Saccharomyces cerevisiae S288C: one gene and its partners. The gene in region 2 interacts genetically with the main gene of each other region. Each region holds a gene or a part of one and is shown on either strand. Other genes may lie near its edges.

Region 1 (6,789 bases), on a different chromosome or scaffold from region 2:
TGGTCATTTCATCACATTCACACCCAGTTTCTTTAATATCCTTTGCTATTTATTCAGCGTTGAACTCCACATACCTACCGAAACTTATTTCAGCTTTTGACGACTTAGAGGTGGAAGAACTTCCTACGTTTCATGATTACGACATGGTTAAGCTTGACATTAATCCGCCTTTAGTGTTTATATTGGCCGTTGTAGGCAACAATATGCTATTGGACCCTGCAGCCAACGAAAGCGAAGTGGCCAATAATGGCCTAATCATTTCCTGGTCTAATGGTAAGATTACATCACCTATCAGATCAGTAGCATTGAATGATTCAAACGTTAAAAGCTTTAAACCTCATTTGTTGAAGCAAGGTCTTGCAATGGTGGAGAAATACGCCCCCGACGTAGTACGATCACTGGAGAATTTATAAAAATATAGTCACAATTAGATAAAAAGACAAATTAGTTTACATACTAAAAACTTCATGGTTAACAAAAGTGGGAATGAAACCTGATTCTTACATGTGTTGAACTGTATAGGAATGAACGATAACTGCGGTTGCCGTTTGAATATTCATTGATCTGATCACACCAAATTGTTGAATCTCTAAACATAAATCCAATTCGCTTAACAAAGTCCCCGGAATACCGAATGCTTCGGTTCCTAGCAAGATCAATGATTTTTTAGGGAATTGGAAATTGTTGTCTAGCTTCACTGATTTATCCGTTTGCTCTAGCCCAATTAATGTGTACCCTTCCTTCTTTTTCTCTTTCATGAAACTTGCAATCTCATCTAGGGCAACTTCCTCCATGGGCATCCATCTATCAGCAGTCACAGCAACATTTTTAAATTGAGGATGGTTTTTGACTTTGATGTCTTGTACAGTAAGCAGTCCCACACCTAAAACATCACATAACCTACAAATACCTCCCAGGTTTGGCGGCTTATCAACTAATGAAGATACCACAATCAATTCAGAACGTGTAACGACATCATTCGATTTTTTATTGTCCAGATCCAGAACGGTTTCCCAAGCTCCACTTTTTGTTTGCAGTGGAGAAGTGTCACAGGAGATGTTCGCGTTGTTAACAGATTCCGTATTGGTGTCTCTTTTATCAAGCCATAAGGACCTTTCATCGGTACCTATAGGAACAATATCTTTCTCCTGCAAATATTTTTCGAAAACAGACTCAGAAATGTACGGGCAATCATGGTCGGTAACTTTTTTGAGCACACCACCAAACATGTTCGTTAATTTCCTATCACCCTTCAGATCCCATATGTTGGCATCCCCGGCACGATATTGACCAAATATTTGAGTCTTTTTGGCATTGGAATATAAGTTCTCAATGATGTTTCTCAGTGTGTGATCCGATAGGTAGGCTTTGAATGTAGGCCATAATGAAATTATTAGAGAATTAGAAAAATGCCTTACCAGAGGTTTGTTTGAAGCTGCGTTAGGAACTAACGTGCAAATGAATCTGTCTAGTAACTGTGTAAATCCATATTTCTTTTCGTCGTTTCTTAAATCTTTCAACACCATAAAGCATATTTTTTCTGCGCTAACTACAAACACCGGTTTGCTATGATCCTCCAGCAATGAGAAGAGATAATCCTCAGCAAATTTTGGATTGCCAGTTTTATAATAATCAACAACCTTTGAGGAAATGAACCATTCTTTATATACTCTTACTAGTGGTGAACTTTCATCCTCGATACTCTTTAGAATTCTGATCATGCTAGTTTCGCTTAATTTTTTTTCATTGGTGGTTAGTAGTGATAATAATAACAATTGCCACTGCAACAACCTCTGTAACGCTTCGGCACCGTCGGTTCTCTTTATAGCATAAAGTGCGTTTGTTTTTTCAGTAACTTTTTCGATTAATCGAATTTTCAACTGATCATTTGCATATAAAATAGAATCAATAATAGATACTCTAGCCAATATTTCGTCGGGTCCGTACACCTTTTCATAAAGTTCATCGCCTTTTATGTAATAATTGTTCAGTTTGTGGTCAAATAGGCTGGAAATAACAGGTTTGAGCTTGTAAAGGTTGACATCCATTTGCGGCTGTTTGAAAACACCTACTATAATGTTAATCAACCACCAATAGTTGACATCTTCTCTTAACAATTTCCCATAAAACTTCATAAATACTCTGAGTTGTGATCCGAGAAGAGGGAGTAGGCTTCTTCTGGAATAACTCAATGATATAATCGTTTGTGCATGTTCCTCCAACTTCGAGGTCAAAGTATCGATATACTGATTTGATCCAAAGTACAGGATCACAGGATGAAATAATCCCTTAATTAGCATCAAATGCAGATCCCTTTCCTTCAAAACTAATCTTTCACTATTAATACATTCCCATATAAACGAAAATTTCTCAAAAATGAATTTCACTATGAAAATATCATCATCAGAAACAGATGTGGAGCAATGGATGTAGGAATCTATGATAAAGTACAATAATTTACAGACTGCCAGGTTCCCCAGATAATTCCCATTATCTTTGTTAATATTCTCGTCAACTAAGCGTAGTAGTATGTGAAGCTCATCATCATTTCCTTCAGAAGAGTCACGATTTAAGGCGTATGTTTTCAGGAAGGTATTTAAAAGTTCAAAGTAAGAAGAATAAGCGCTGTCCTTCACTTTAAAGCTCTCTCTTGAACACTGATTGGCAGACTTTTTAACCATTTCATATAGGCTCAGAAGGTCATTAAAATTTAGCTCGATTGTATCGAACCTACATTCATAAGTCTTCTGGTAAATTTCAGCAAAGAACTTGAATTTATCAAGCGAAAATTTTTCCATTACCGACTTAAATAAATTATTCACATTGATGGATTTCCATGTAGATATTGTAAAATTTGGGTAAGACAACAAAGCGGTTGCATTTTCATAGGTATAACCGTTCGAAGGTTCGCCTGAAAGTAGCTGAGTTAGAAAAGTAACTGCCTTTGAAGTGTAAACGGGTATATCTTGCTTCGACTTCGCAACTTCAATTAAAAAATCGGGAGTAATATCAATATCCTTGAAATCGAAGATGATAGATGCTAAGAGGTCAAAAATAGTATCCTTTCCGATGTTTGTCGTCAAGTTTTCTTTCGCTTGCAAATCGTCAAAGTGAGAAACGGCAAGATCCCTATAATCTTCAAAAAGAGGCTCAACATATTTGTATGTCCCTCCCTTTAACTTAATGTGTGAAACTAATGTAAACAATAATTCAGATGCGGAGACAGATGGATCAATGTACAGTAAGAACTTCAAGTAAATTGTTTGGATTGTAGTTTCGAGAACCTCTTCTTCGGCTGCAAAATCGTACAATTTCCTGATCAGACTCAAATGGTCAGAGTTGATTGTTTTCTGTTTGTTATTCTGGAAGAAAACTAAGATACCGTAGGACAAGTATATCCTAGAAGGGTCAAAAGAGGTCCCTTTTTCCACCAATAATTTCAAAATTTCAAATAATATATCTGATATGCCTTCTGTTGTTTGGGAAAGTAAGTTATTGACAAATAATGAAAGTTTTTCACCATGGGGACAACTGACACCTTTTACATCAAAATAATGAGCGGACATTGCAGCTGGAAGAAGAGTTTTTGTCAATAATGGCAAGTTTGAAGAGAATGCTGACATATTTGTAATCGAGAACATTAACGTCATCATGTATTTTCTGACACTCTCCATTGATGATTTCAATCCCGTAGAAAGCAAGATAAGGCCCCAACTATGGTGTAAATGCTCGTTATCAAAAATTTTTATTATATCTTGTTTGGCCGCTTGTATTTGATTCAATGATGTGTCCAGAGCAATCATTTCATATAAGGTGGTGAATTTCTTCCAGCTACCCAGCATCTCGATATTTGCTAGATCATTGCATTTATAAAATGTTGTTTGCAATGTTATACCATGAGATGACAGTTTTTGAATTGTTAATTTAAGAATTGAGAGTGCCAATTTTCTGTGTTCGTGCACATCATTATCCAGCTCTGTTTGAATGTGCCTCCAATAAGCATCGGTCTTTATATAAGTAATAAGTTCAGGAGACAACTCTGCTGCTAAAAGGAATCTTAGGAGAAAAGATAAACTGTTCTTTTGCTTCCAAGCTTGTTGGGAGCCTTCAGCGTACAATTGTTTGATAAATGTCCAAATGAGCTTATCAAAGTTACTATCGGTATTGCAGCATTTCGATAAATATTTGATATGCCATCTCATTAACTTGGAGCAGGAATCAGCAATCTCTTCCGAATTACAGCCTAACAATGGAACAATGATAAAATCTAGGCATTTGGACGATATACCATTCTTACATTCGTCAAATAAATATACAACTTCTAAGTAGTGAAGCAGGCTAAGGATATCTAAGTGCAGATTTTCATGCTTGATATTAGCGTTTTGTTCCTCAGCAAAAGAATCGAAAAATGGTTGTACAATCTTTTTTCCAAAGTTGTCATTGAAGAGATGTTTATAGTTTTCGCTAATGATGTCATTTAACCGGTAGCTCATCCACACCTGAAATTTATGCCATACACTGGGTAAACAACATAGTAATTGTGCAGAAGTTCTTAGCGCCTTGTTCATTTCAGCCCTCGAAGAGCGAAACATTTCCCTGGCTTCACCGTCTATACTAGCATACGCAATGACCTGCTCAGTAATTTTTTCAAAGATTGGTGTTTCAATGTTGCTGTCCGTCGTTATATCCAGTGGCGAAGTTTCAATCAACTCCAGCACCTCTTCTAAGCTGTCATTCTGAATCAAGTCTGATATAAGCTTTAGTTGCTCTTCGCGTGGTAAATATTTGCAGATGAGAGCACCTCCAACCATTTTGCTGGTAAAAAAAAGGTATAGAGTTTGTAACGTTCGTTAAACAATTCTTTTCACCGGATTTTAATAAGGCTTGGCTTATTTGCTTACTAGCAATTATATAGTTACAATAGTGCTGTTTCAATCTTGCTCATCGCCATGGTGAAACTTTTCGAAAAACACTTGAATTTTCATTCACGTGATCTACATTCCCTTACCCGACAACTCACCCATTGTGCCCCCTTTAAGATATGGCTATTGAGTAAGCCAATATTTATCGATTTACAGCAAGTCATCTCCAAAATGAAGAGATGACTAGCTCGAATACTGGTGGTGCAATTGAACATACCATCTAGAAAAGTTGTCTTCTACAGCACACAATGTCAGACTTAAATGATGTCCAAGAAAATGCTAAATTGAATTCGGAAACTCGGAATACAGGAAAGGCTGAACCACCTCATGGGACAACTGAGTATGTGGCAGAGGCAGAAATTTCTAAGAATGGAGTTGGATCGCCAAAAAAGAGCCCAAAAAAGGGTAAGGTTGGAAAGGGGGACAATAACAAAGTAGAAACTGAGTTAGTACACACAGCCCTGTTAGAAAAAGACAACCCATTCATGGAGGAGGGGCCAACAGGATTCACAAAATCAGCTTTATTAGAAATACCCGGTATGAGAAGCCATAACCTAAAGAACCCGAATGAAGATTACGAGGATGACTCTGAGGGATTATTGCCTTTAAACCAAGAATCGAATGCAGAAACATGTAGAACAAGTCTTAGTGGAAGTATTAACTCCATGAACGGAGAGACCTCTGCGTCAGAAGAACCTTCTGTAAGTAATAGAAAGAAGTCCGCTAGGATACACATACTTGAAGCGAAAAGAGTTTCCGAAGGTCAAGGAAGAGCCTACATCGCCTATGTTATTCAGTTTGAAAATTCTACCGTTCAGAGACGTTACAGCGATTTCGAGAGTTTGAGAAGTATCTTGATAAGATTGTTTCCTATGACGTTGATACCGCCGATTCCAGAAAAGCAGTCAATAAAGAATTATGGTAAGTCAATAACTGGTTCGAGTTCAAAGTATTTGCTGCCCTCAGAAGGTTCTGGTTCAGTAGATCTATCATTGTCTGTGATACATGCGTCGGTCAATAATAGTGATGAAAAGTTAATACGGCATAGGATAAGAATGCTCACTGAGTTCTTGAACAAACTTTTGACGAACGAAGAAATCACAAAAACATCTATAATTACCGATTTTTTGGATCCTAATAACCATAATTGGCATGAATTTGTTAACAGTTCGTCCACTTTTTCATCTTTACCGAAGAGCATCCTCCAGTGTAATCCACTAGATCCCACTAACACCACTAGAATTCATGCCATGTTACCAATACCGGGCTCCTCGTCACAGTTATTGTTGAATAAGGAGTCCAACGACAAAAAAATGGATAAGGAAAGAAGTAAGTCGTTTACTAATATTGAACAGGATTACAAGCAATATGAGAACTTGTTAGATAACGGGATTTATAAGTATAATAGACGAACCACGAAGACTTATCACGATTTGAAATCGGATTACAATGAAATCGGTGAGGTATTTGCACAGTTTGCCCATGAACAGGCTCAAGTTGGGGAATTGGCCGAACAGCTTTCTTACTTAAGCAATGCCTTTTCGGGGTCCTCGATTTCTTTAGAAAAATTAGTTGGAAGACTATACTACAATATAAATGAGCCTTTAAATGAATCTGTTCATATGGCAACTTCTGCAAGAGAATTGATCAAATACAGAAAATTGAAATACCTGCAAAATGAAATGATTAAAAAGTCTCTGAATTCCAAAAGAGCACAGTTGGAGAAGCTGGAAGCGCAAAACAATGAATATAAGGATGTTGACAAAATAATTGACAACGAAATGTCTAAAAGTCATACTATTAATCTGGAACGCCCTAATAATAATACAGGTAGCGGTGGGAAATCATATGGTGGCAAACTATTCAA
Region 2 (3,813 bases):
GGTTGAAACAAAATCAAAGACTTATACAAGAAGATCACATACAAGCATTTATTCACATTACTTTAAGTAAACTTCAGTAAACTACATTACATCATAAACAAAACATGGCTAAAGAAAGTACGGGATTCAAACCAGGCTCTGCAAAAAAGGGTGCTACATTGTTTAAAACGAGGTGTCAGCAGTGTCATACAATAGAAGAGGGTGGTCCTAACAAAGTTGGACCTAATTTACATGGTATTTTTGGTAGACATTCAGGTCAGGTAAAGGGTTATTCTTACACAGATGCAAACATCAACAAGAACGTCAAATGGGATGAGGATAGTATGTCCGAGTACTTGACGAACCCAAAGAAATATATTCCTGGTACCAAGATGGCGTTTGCCGGGTTGAAGAAGGAAAAGGACAGAAACGATTTAATTACTTATATGACAAAGGCTGCCAAATAGGCTATGTCGTCGGAGGAGATATTTATTACTTTTATTATTCTAGTTTTTTACAGTTATTTATTAATTAATTATTTTTATATGCATGCGAATAAAAAGTCTATATTTAAGTTCTTTTATTTATTAATACATTTTTTTTTGAGAGTCCTGTGTAGCCTATTTGTTCTTAGATGCAGATCCTCCTATAAGACATAACCTAGGATGACACATAAAACAGTCAAACGCCAGTTTGCCGCTACGTTGGCACCTGCGTTATTACCGCTCATTGAGCTTGTACTGCTGGAGGCGCTTCCGCTTACAGAAGATGTTGTTTGAGTTTGGGAAGTGACGGAAGAGGATACGGAGGATACGACTTTATCTCCGTTCTTAGTAGCAGTAGAGGAAGAAGAAGAAGAAGAAGAAGATGATGATGATGATGATGAAGCGGTGGAACTAGTCTTACTACTCTTCTTAGTTGAACTGCTGTGATCGGATGACGTTTTGGAGGAAGAGGTTGCAGTTGAGGAAGAACTCTTTTGGGTGGAAGATGTGGTAGCTCCCTTATGTGGGTCCAAGCCAGATCCCTCATCACTGTCCATCATGACCTCATCATCGGTAATAGCAATGTCTTTGGCCAAAAATTCACTGGACGAAGTATACACATAAGCAGAAGTACCATTCTTCTTGGTATCGCTTGGTGGATCATAACATGTGATATTAACTTCATTGACAATAGCATAATAATATCCTGGGTTGCTGATATCGGATGCGTCCCAATTAATTTCACCACCAGACCATGCAATGGTTCCTGGAGCGTTGGTAGAATTACCACCTGGCCAAATGGAAATATCCACCTTGGATGGGGTTTGTGGGTATTGATATTTTTGGGTGGTGGCGTTATAAGTTTCGTTCTTGTACAAGGTTCTACCGACGACACCATCGATGGACCATGTTACATAATCTTCGTGCCAATCTAATTCGTAAGTATGGTAGTTTTCAAATGTATCAGTAGTGGAAATATTGGCAGAATTCGTGTAGTTCAAAACACTTTCCCAATAGAAATTGGTTTGAGCAGTTTCTAGATCAGCACCGACGAATTCGTAATCAAGTTCATCACCTGCGCCGGAATACAGAATGAACCCAGTGACCACACCAGCAAGATGTGACGTCTTTATTCTAGCACTGACCTTACCATACCAAACAGCCCTCGTGGAGGAAAGAACGGTACCACCACTGTTCTTGGGCATCGCCAAAATTAAACTTTCTTCATCATCATAATCCAAAACGTCACCAGTATACAACCAATCAGCCTCACTAACATTTCCTAAGAAAGTGTTAGCATTCCCCAACTTAGAGGAATAATCTTTGAATTTAGTGGATGAACTCTTGCAGATAGGTACAGGCATACATGAATCATGACTAAACGAATATCTTACATCACAGTTGTTCAGACAATATTGACCAGTACCACATTCACCATATTGTGAGCAACATGGTTTATCTTCGGGACATGCTTGAGTTGCATTGCAAAATGTAGCGGCCTCTACACGTACCACGAAGGAAAAAATACTGACTAAACAAATTAGCCAACTATTAACGATTGCCATTATTAATTATATAATTAGCTTATTTGCAGGACAATAAATAGAAGTTTTACAAAGGGAACAGGGTCCAACAGAAACCATAATCACCAGGAATGTTGTTCTTTTTATACCTCAGGCATGTTTTAAAAGCCTCTTCTGCAGTTTTAATTTGGAAACTATCCACCTTGAAGATTCCCACTAAATCTTCGAAGGACGACGATTTTCTTCGAGGTTGAAAAAAGTTTTTCAAGAATTTTCGCGCTTCTTCCTAATCGGGAATTTATCTGTCATAATTATAATTCCCTATTTGGGAATTGGAACGAAATATATGCTACTATTTTAAAAATTATTCTGCACCATTCCGGAAATAACCTTCCGGTGACTGCAAGTTAGGCAACCTTATCATATGGTTAACTAGCATAATTACAAACGCGCATGAGGAAATTTAGCGAAACTACCTGCCAAATGCGGCGCTCTGGTTCAACTGTTTCATTTCTCCATTTTGTATAGCTCTACTGGATCTTCTTCGACACTGCAAACGACGCAAGAGCATTCTTGAAGTAAAAGAGGTAAATACAAAGCTGTTTACAGGCTCATCATCCATTATGAACCCTTGACTACGGAAACGCAGGATGTGGGAAATCGTTAGATTGCAAAATGAGCCTGACGAGTCCGTTCAACAACTATTTCTGTTTCTGTTTCCGTTACGGATTTCCTCTCCTCATCTTGTGCATCTGAGCTTATGCATGAACTCTCGAGGGGATTACTTATGGTGTCGTTTCCATTTTTCGATGAGTCTAATCTATATTTTTCTTGATTTTTTGGCGAGAGAATATGTGCAAATGGCTTCTGCTCTTCGCGGTCATTCCAATTAAGATTTTTACTGATACTTTCAAAAAATTCACTGGCAGATGACTCGATAGTCGGTACCGAATAGGGGCTTGCAGTTATCACAACATAGTCACCCTGTTTCAATTCAACTCTATCTTTTCCGTCAAAATTCACCCACGACGTCCCTCTTGAGTTCATATCTACTCTAACTTTTAATTCCATGCTATCTGGTAAAATTATAGGCCTAAAGCTCAAAGTATGAGGACATATAGGCGTCACCGCTATGGCATTTACGCTTGGCGATATTAAAGAGCCTCCTGCACTCAATGAGTATGCCGTGGATCCCGTAGGCGTGGCAACAATCAATCCATCTCCCTGAACCTTAGTCATTAGTGAGTCGTTTCCATAGAGTTCTAATAGGGATAAACAAGGAGCTGGACCTCTATCTATGGTTACTTCGTTCAATACGTGATGTTCGGAGATGAAATCGATGTAACATATTTTTCTCCCAGTTGCGGCATCAATTTCTGGTTTATTTCTACGGTAGAGTTTGCATTGCAACCTCATTCGTAAATTAATACGAACCTCATCTGTTAAGATATGTTTCAACGTTTCTTTGAAATTTTGAAATTCAAAATTTGTTAGAAATCCTAATGATCCAAGGGCAAATGGAACAATCGGCGGAACATCTTTCGTGAATATAGATGAAGCAAAAAGGACAGTTCCATCACCCCCTAGTGTAATCATCAAGTCAAAGAATGAATCGTGTTTTTTAACAAATTCTTTTGACCAATACTTTACTCTGTTTTTACTGCAATTGCTGTCTTTGCAGAGGTCACCAACAGCAAACTGAGTTGACTTTTTAAAAATATCTTGTACATATACAGTTATTGAATGGAAATTGCGTAAGATCCATTCCACCACTTCTCTCATGAGAAATACAGTGGAAATATCATTAATATTGCAGATTATTATCA
Region 3 (4,688 bases), on a different chromosome or scaffold from region 2:
CGGCAGTTTCAGAAAGAAATCGGAGGCGTCCTAACTTGCTAGATGAGTCGGACGCGGACCCAATCATTTTAAGCACGATGGATATGCTTCTTCTAGATGATCGAAAGAGTAATTGAATTTTTTCAAGTCATCATCGAAACCAGCAAAAGATTACGATATTATCCTTCTATTTACCGCAAAGTGTGTTGTTGTTATTATATGCATATTTGAGTATCGTGATCCCTTTTTTTAATCTATTTTATGCATGTAGGACATCTCGGCCGAGCGCAATAGAGGAACGGCCGAGATACTTATTTATACGCACCGCACCTATTACATTCCGCCTGCCTAACCATGCTCATTTTTTCAAATTGACGAGCAGGTTAAAAGAAACACTGCGAAATGTGAGGAATCTTTCCGTCTTGTCGAGTCTTAAAACAGTGGAAAAAACGTGGAGGATAACAGTGTTTCTTGTTTTTGGCTTGTTTTTTTTTTTTTAGCCTTTCCAAATATCCGTATTCTCACAAAGAAGGCATATCGCTCAGATTTTCACCTAATAAATCCCAGAAGGCATCAAAATTGTTGTTTTCCAATAGTTGATTTAAAGCCTCTTCTTCGCTGATATTGAAAAATTCTTCAGCCGTGTTTTGGGACATAGCGGTATTGGCTTTTATTGCGAAGGAACTGGAGAGAACTGCATCCTCCATCTGGCACAACAGAACTTGATTGAAACTCTGCAAACTCTGGCTGCTTATTAACTTTTGTTTGATTCTTCTCGAATTATTGCAGTCCAATCCCCATTTCAATCTCACGGCTTGTTGTACTTTTGGCGGTATTTCACCATCACTGGAAATCTTATCCCAAAACCCATTTGTCACAGATACTAAGCCGCCAACATCGATCAAATACACAACGTATCTAAACATGGGAACAGTTTGGTAAGCACCAAAGTAACTATCTTGAAGTTTTCCCTTTGCTAGATCCACTAAATGTGCCATTTGGTTACGAATGTGTTTAATAAGTCTTTCTAAAATGACAATCATTTCATCTTCTTTTTCATTATCGTTAGTGGATATACTGGAAGAGGCCAATTTTTTCTGACTTTCTTGCTTGTATGAAAACCTTAACAAAATACGACATTGGAACATCCAGATCCTTACAAGCATAAAACATATTTGTTTATCTATGATATAACCGCGACTCTCTAAAATGTTCCCTTGAAACTTATTCTCGAGATAATCAGATATCAACCCTGCTAGCTTTAAGTATGCATTGAAACTTTTCAAAGTAAGGAAATGATAGTTCTTTTCATATTCTTCCCAGTGCATAACACATTTTTTTTCAAAATGTAACGATAGGACATCAAAAATGTTTAAAAAACACATACTTCCCACAATATTTGTAAGAAATATTTCAGTTTTTTGAATATCCATGACATCGAGAACCGTACTTTTGCCAACTTTGATCGCATTTGGTTCCTTTTCATGAAGGGGTTGGTAAATCGAACTTGTAGGAAAGTTCTCAGCCATAAAATCTTCAGATCTTTTAATATTTCCTAAAATGTGGAAAAGCTGCGGATGTTGTATAACTGAAGTGCAATCAGACATTAGTTTACTCAAAATGACGTGAAATTTGTACTTATTCCAAACAATATCATTCATTTGCACGTTCGATTCACTCGCAGAACTTTTTTCATACTCTGAGGAAGCTTCAATATATTCTTCGAAGTCTGTTAAATATGCCTCCATATATTCACTATTTGATTTACCAGCATCACCTTCAGCAAGAGAAATTTGAAAAAGTAATGACTGAACTCCTAACCATAATATCCGTCTCTGCCTTATCACTTCTGGATCTTTGAAACGTTTGTACTTCGAAGGCTCATATTGAAGACCTAAGGTCATGGACAAATTTAAAAGATGGTGCAGAGTAAGCAAGTTAGTGGGGCTCAGTACACAATCGGGACTCTCGGGATCTAAATGCTCTGAAACGTAGAAATATAAAAGGCAAGTAAAAGTGTTCTCATTTGGATAGCGAAATACATCCAGGAGGCATAATAGTTTATGACATAAAAGAGAAAGTTTCCTGGCACTTTCGGAGGCATTTTCTTTTACCATTGAAAGAAGATTTGCATCCAATTTTGAATGCATCAAGGCCATGGCCATTACTATTGTAAGTAATGACAAAGTTTCTATTTTTTTGCGCACATTTTTAACTTCAGTACTAATTTTCCAACGATTATTGTCGTCTTGTAAAAGCAAACTAGTGAGATCGCTCTCAAAGAGTGAAATGTCCATAAAAGGATAGAAGGGATAAATATTTTGATAGAAACACCTCAAAAGTATTTCACAGTCTTTTTTTTGCATCAACACGTCTTCCACTTCAGCGATGAGTGACGGTAGAAGAGTCGAGAAGTTTTCTTCTTCCATTGAAAATGCATTGTATAATAACCCTAAGGCGGCAGACTGAACTCGAAATTGCTTACTATGTTCTATCCGTCTAAAAATGGCCTTTTCTATGAATGACAATGGTCCTAGTATACTTCTTGATGTGTCTTCACAAGGAATACCATTAGCATAATTGCTAAAGTCAACAAGCGCCATGCCGTACAACGAAGCACAAAGTGCCCTGATATACTGGTCATGTTGCGCCAGACTATGCGCAGCAAAAGGATAATCCAGAAATGTAACTAATCCTACTATAACTAGCATATCTTCGGCGTTCCATATCGACAGCGTAGCATTAACGACACCTTCAGGCACTTGTAAGGAATATCTAAGCCCAGTCCTTTCAAGTACAGGTTGCTGTTCGAAATTGAGCTTATGAGAGGAATTGAATCCATCAGAGTCGTTTGCTGCAACATTGGCAGATAAATCTGTTCTCTCTTCATATTCACACTGTAATGAATTTTGTTGGCATCGCGAGCAAGCAGGCCGCAGTTTATCACATTTCCGTTTGATCTTTTTGCATTGCAGGCAAACCAATCTTAACCGAGGTTTTTTTACTGTAATCGAATCCATCAGAGCATTTCAGCAGCCAATTTCATGTTCATTTGTTTATCTACCGCTTACATTAATAAAGTATTAATGAGTAACATTATTAGTAATGATGTCAAAATTTCGTTCTCAATGACTTGTAATAATGAGTGTAATAGTGATCTGCACGGGTCTTGAGTAGAAAATCTACCGAATGCAAAAATGTGAAGAATACACGCTACTATGTAAATCTTTATTTTTCAACTCATTTCAAACCATTGAACCATCCTCTTAGATAGCACAGTATATTAATATAGGCATTCTTTGTAAAAATTTGCGCTCTTCTCTTTTAAAATTGAAGTGCTTTAAGAGGACCTCATCAGACATGCTCGGACTCTAGATTTCGAAGTAAAAGCATGATTAACACTCTACCTTTCGGACGAAAATTGCATTAATGTACCTACTTAATGGGTATTCAGTTTTCAGATTTAATAGTTTGGCTTCGATACATATGAGTAGGCTAAGTATTAAGTTAAATCGCAGAACAAATGTAGACGTACTCGACATGAATGGGTAAAACCCTGCACACATTTCGTATTGAATAAAACTTACTGCTCTGCACTGTTGTCGAGAGATTCTAAATTTTCATCAAAATTTCCCTTAAGTTTAAGAAATATCCTATTCAAGAAATGAATGTCCCTATATATAGGTCATGTGACTACCGAAGAATTGGTTTAAGGTATACATACAATGCAAACCACTTTTCTCTTGTTATGTAATGGGTCATGATAAATTCCGAGATTTGACATGCATTTTAAGAGATTCTGAAAAATATTACGTATATAGACTATTTATGGAATTTCTTATCATAATCGACCAAAGTAAATCTGTATTTGACGTCTCCGCTTTCCATCCTTGTAAAGGCATGGCTGACGCCTTCTTCGCTGATCGGAAGTTTTTCCACCCATATTTTGACATTCTTTTCGGAAACTAATTTCAATAGTTGTTCGATTTCCTTCCTAGATCCGATAGCACTGCTTGAGATTGATACTCCCATTAGGCCCAACGGTTTTAAAACAAGCTTTTCATTAACTTCAGGAGCAGCAATTGAAACGATGGAGCCTCCAATCTTCATAATCTTAACGATACTGTCAAAATTAACTTTCGACAAAGATGATGAGCAAACGACAAGAAGGTCCAAAGCGTTAGAGTATTGTTCTGTCCAGCCTTTATCCTCCAACATAGCAATATAGTGATCAGCACCGAGTTTCATAGAATCCTCCCGCTTGGAGTGGCCTCGCGAAAACGCATAAACCTCGGCTCCCATAGCTTTAGCCAACAGAATCCCCATATGCCCAATACCACCGATGCCAACAATACCTACCCTCTTACCTGGACCACAGCCATTTCTTAGTAGTGGAGAGAAAACTGTAATACCACCACACAATAATGGAGCGGCTAGCGGACTTGGAATATTTTCTGGTATTTGAATAGCAAAGTGTTCATGAAGCCTCACGTGGGAGGCAAAGCCTCCTTGTGAAATGTAGCCGTCCTTGTAAGGAGTCCACATAGTCAAAACGTGGTCATTGGTACAGTATTGCTCGTTGTCACTTTTGCAACGTTCACACTCAAAACACGCCAAGGCTTGGGCACCAACACCAACACGGTCACCGATTTTTACCCCAGTGTGGCACTTGGATCCAACCTTCACCACGCGGCCAATTATTTCATGTC

Evidence for each region.
Region 1: mutations in UTR2 (region 2) and TRM3 together harm fitness more than expected from each alone (negative genetic interaction), as found in Saccharomyces cerevisiae (2 studies listed by BioGRID).
Region 3: mutations in UTR2 (region 2) and RDS1 together harm fitness more than expected from each alone (negative genetic interaction), as found in Saccharomyces cerevisiae (2 studies listed by BioGRID).

What each region holds. Positions count from the first base shown.
Region 1 is NC_001136.10:256,937-263,725, reverse strand, and holds TRM3 (tRNA (guanosine(18)-2'-O)-methyltransferase), read right to left. Parts: upstream 4,812-6,789; coding exon 501-4,811; downstream 1-500. Other genes in the region: exosome non-catalytic core subunit RRP42, read left to right, coding at 1-413; ATG20 (Atg20p), read left to right, coding at 5,171-6,789. UniProt on the Saccharomyces cerevisiae protein: S-adenosyl-L-methionine-dependent 2'-O-ribose methyltransferase that catalyzes the formation of 2'-O-methylguanosine at position 18 (Gm18) in various tRNAs.
Region 2 is NC_001137.3:76,269-80,081, reverse strand, and holds UTR2 (chitin transglycosylase UTR2), read right to left. Parts: upstream 2,030-3,813; coding exon 626-2,029; downstream 1-625. Other genes in the region: CYC7 (cytochrome c), read left to right, coding at 105-446; YEF1 (NADH/NAD(+) kinase), read right to left, coding at 2,651-3,813. UniProt on the Saccharomyces cerevisiae protein: Dual chitinase/transglycosylase that plays a role in cell wall architecture. Chitinase and transglycosylase activities are coupled. Required for the polysaccharide cross-linking at the septa and the cell wall.
Region 3 is NC_001135.5:309,269-313,956, reverse strand, and holds RDS1 (Rds1p), read right to left. Parts: upstream 3,000-4,688; coding exon 501-2,999; downstream 1-500. Other genes in the region: AAD3 (putative aryl-alcohol dehydrogenase), read right to left, coding at 1-67; ADH7 (NADP-dependent alcohol dehydrogenase), read right to left, coding at 3,802-4,688. UniProt on the Saccharomyces cerevisiae protein: Zinc cluster transcription factor involved in resistance to cycloheximide.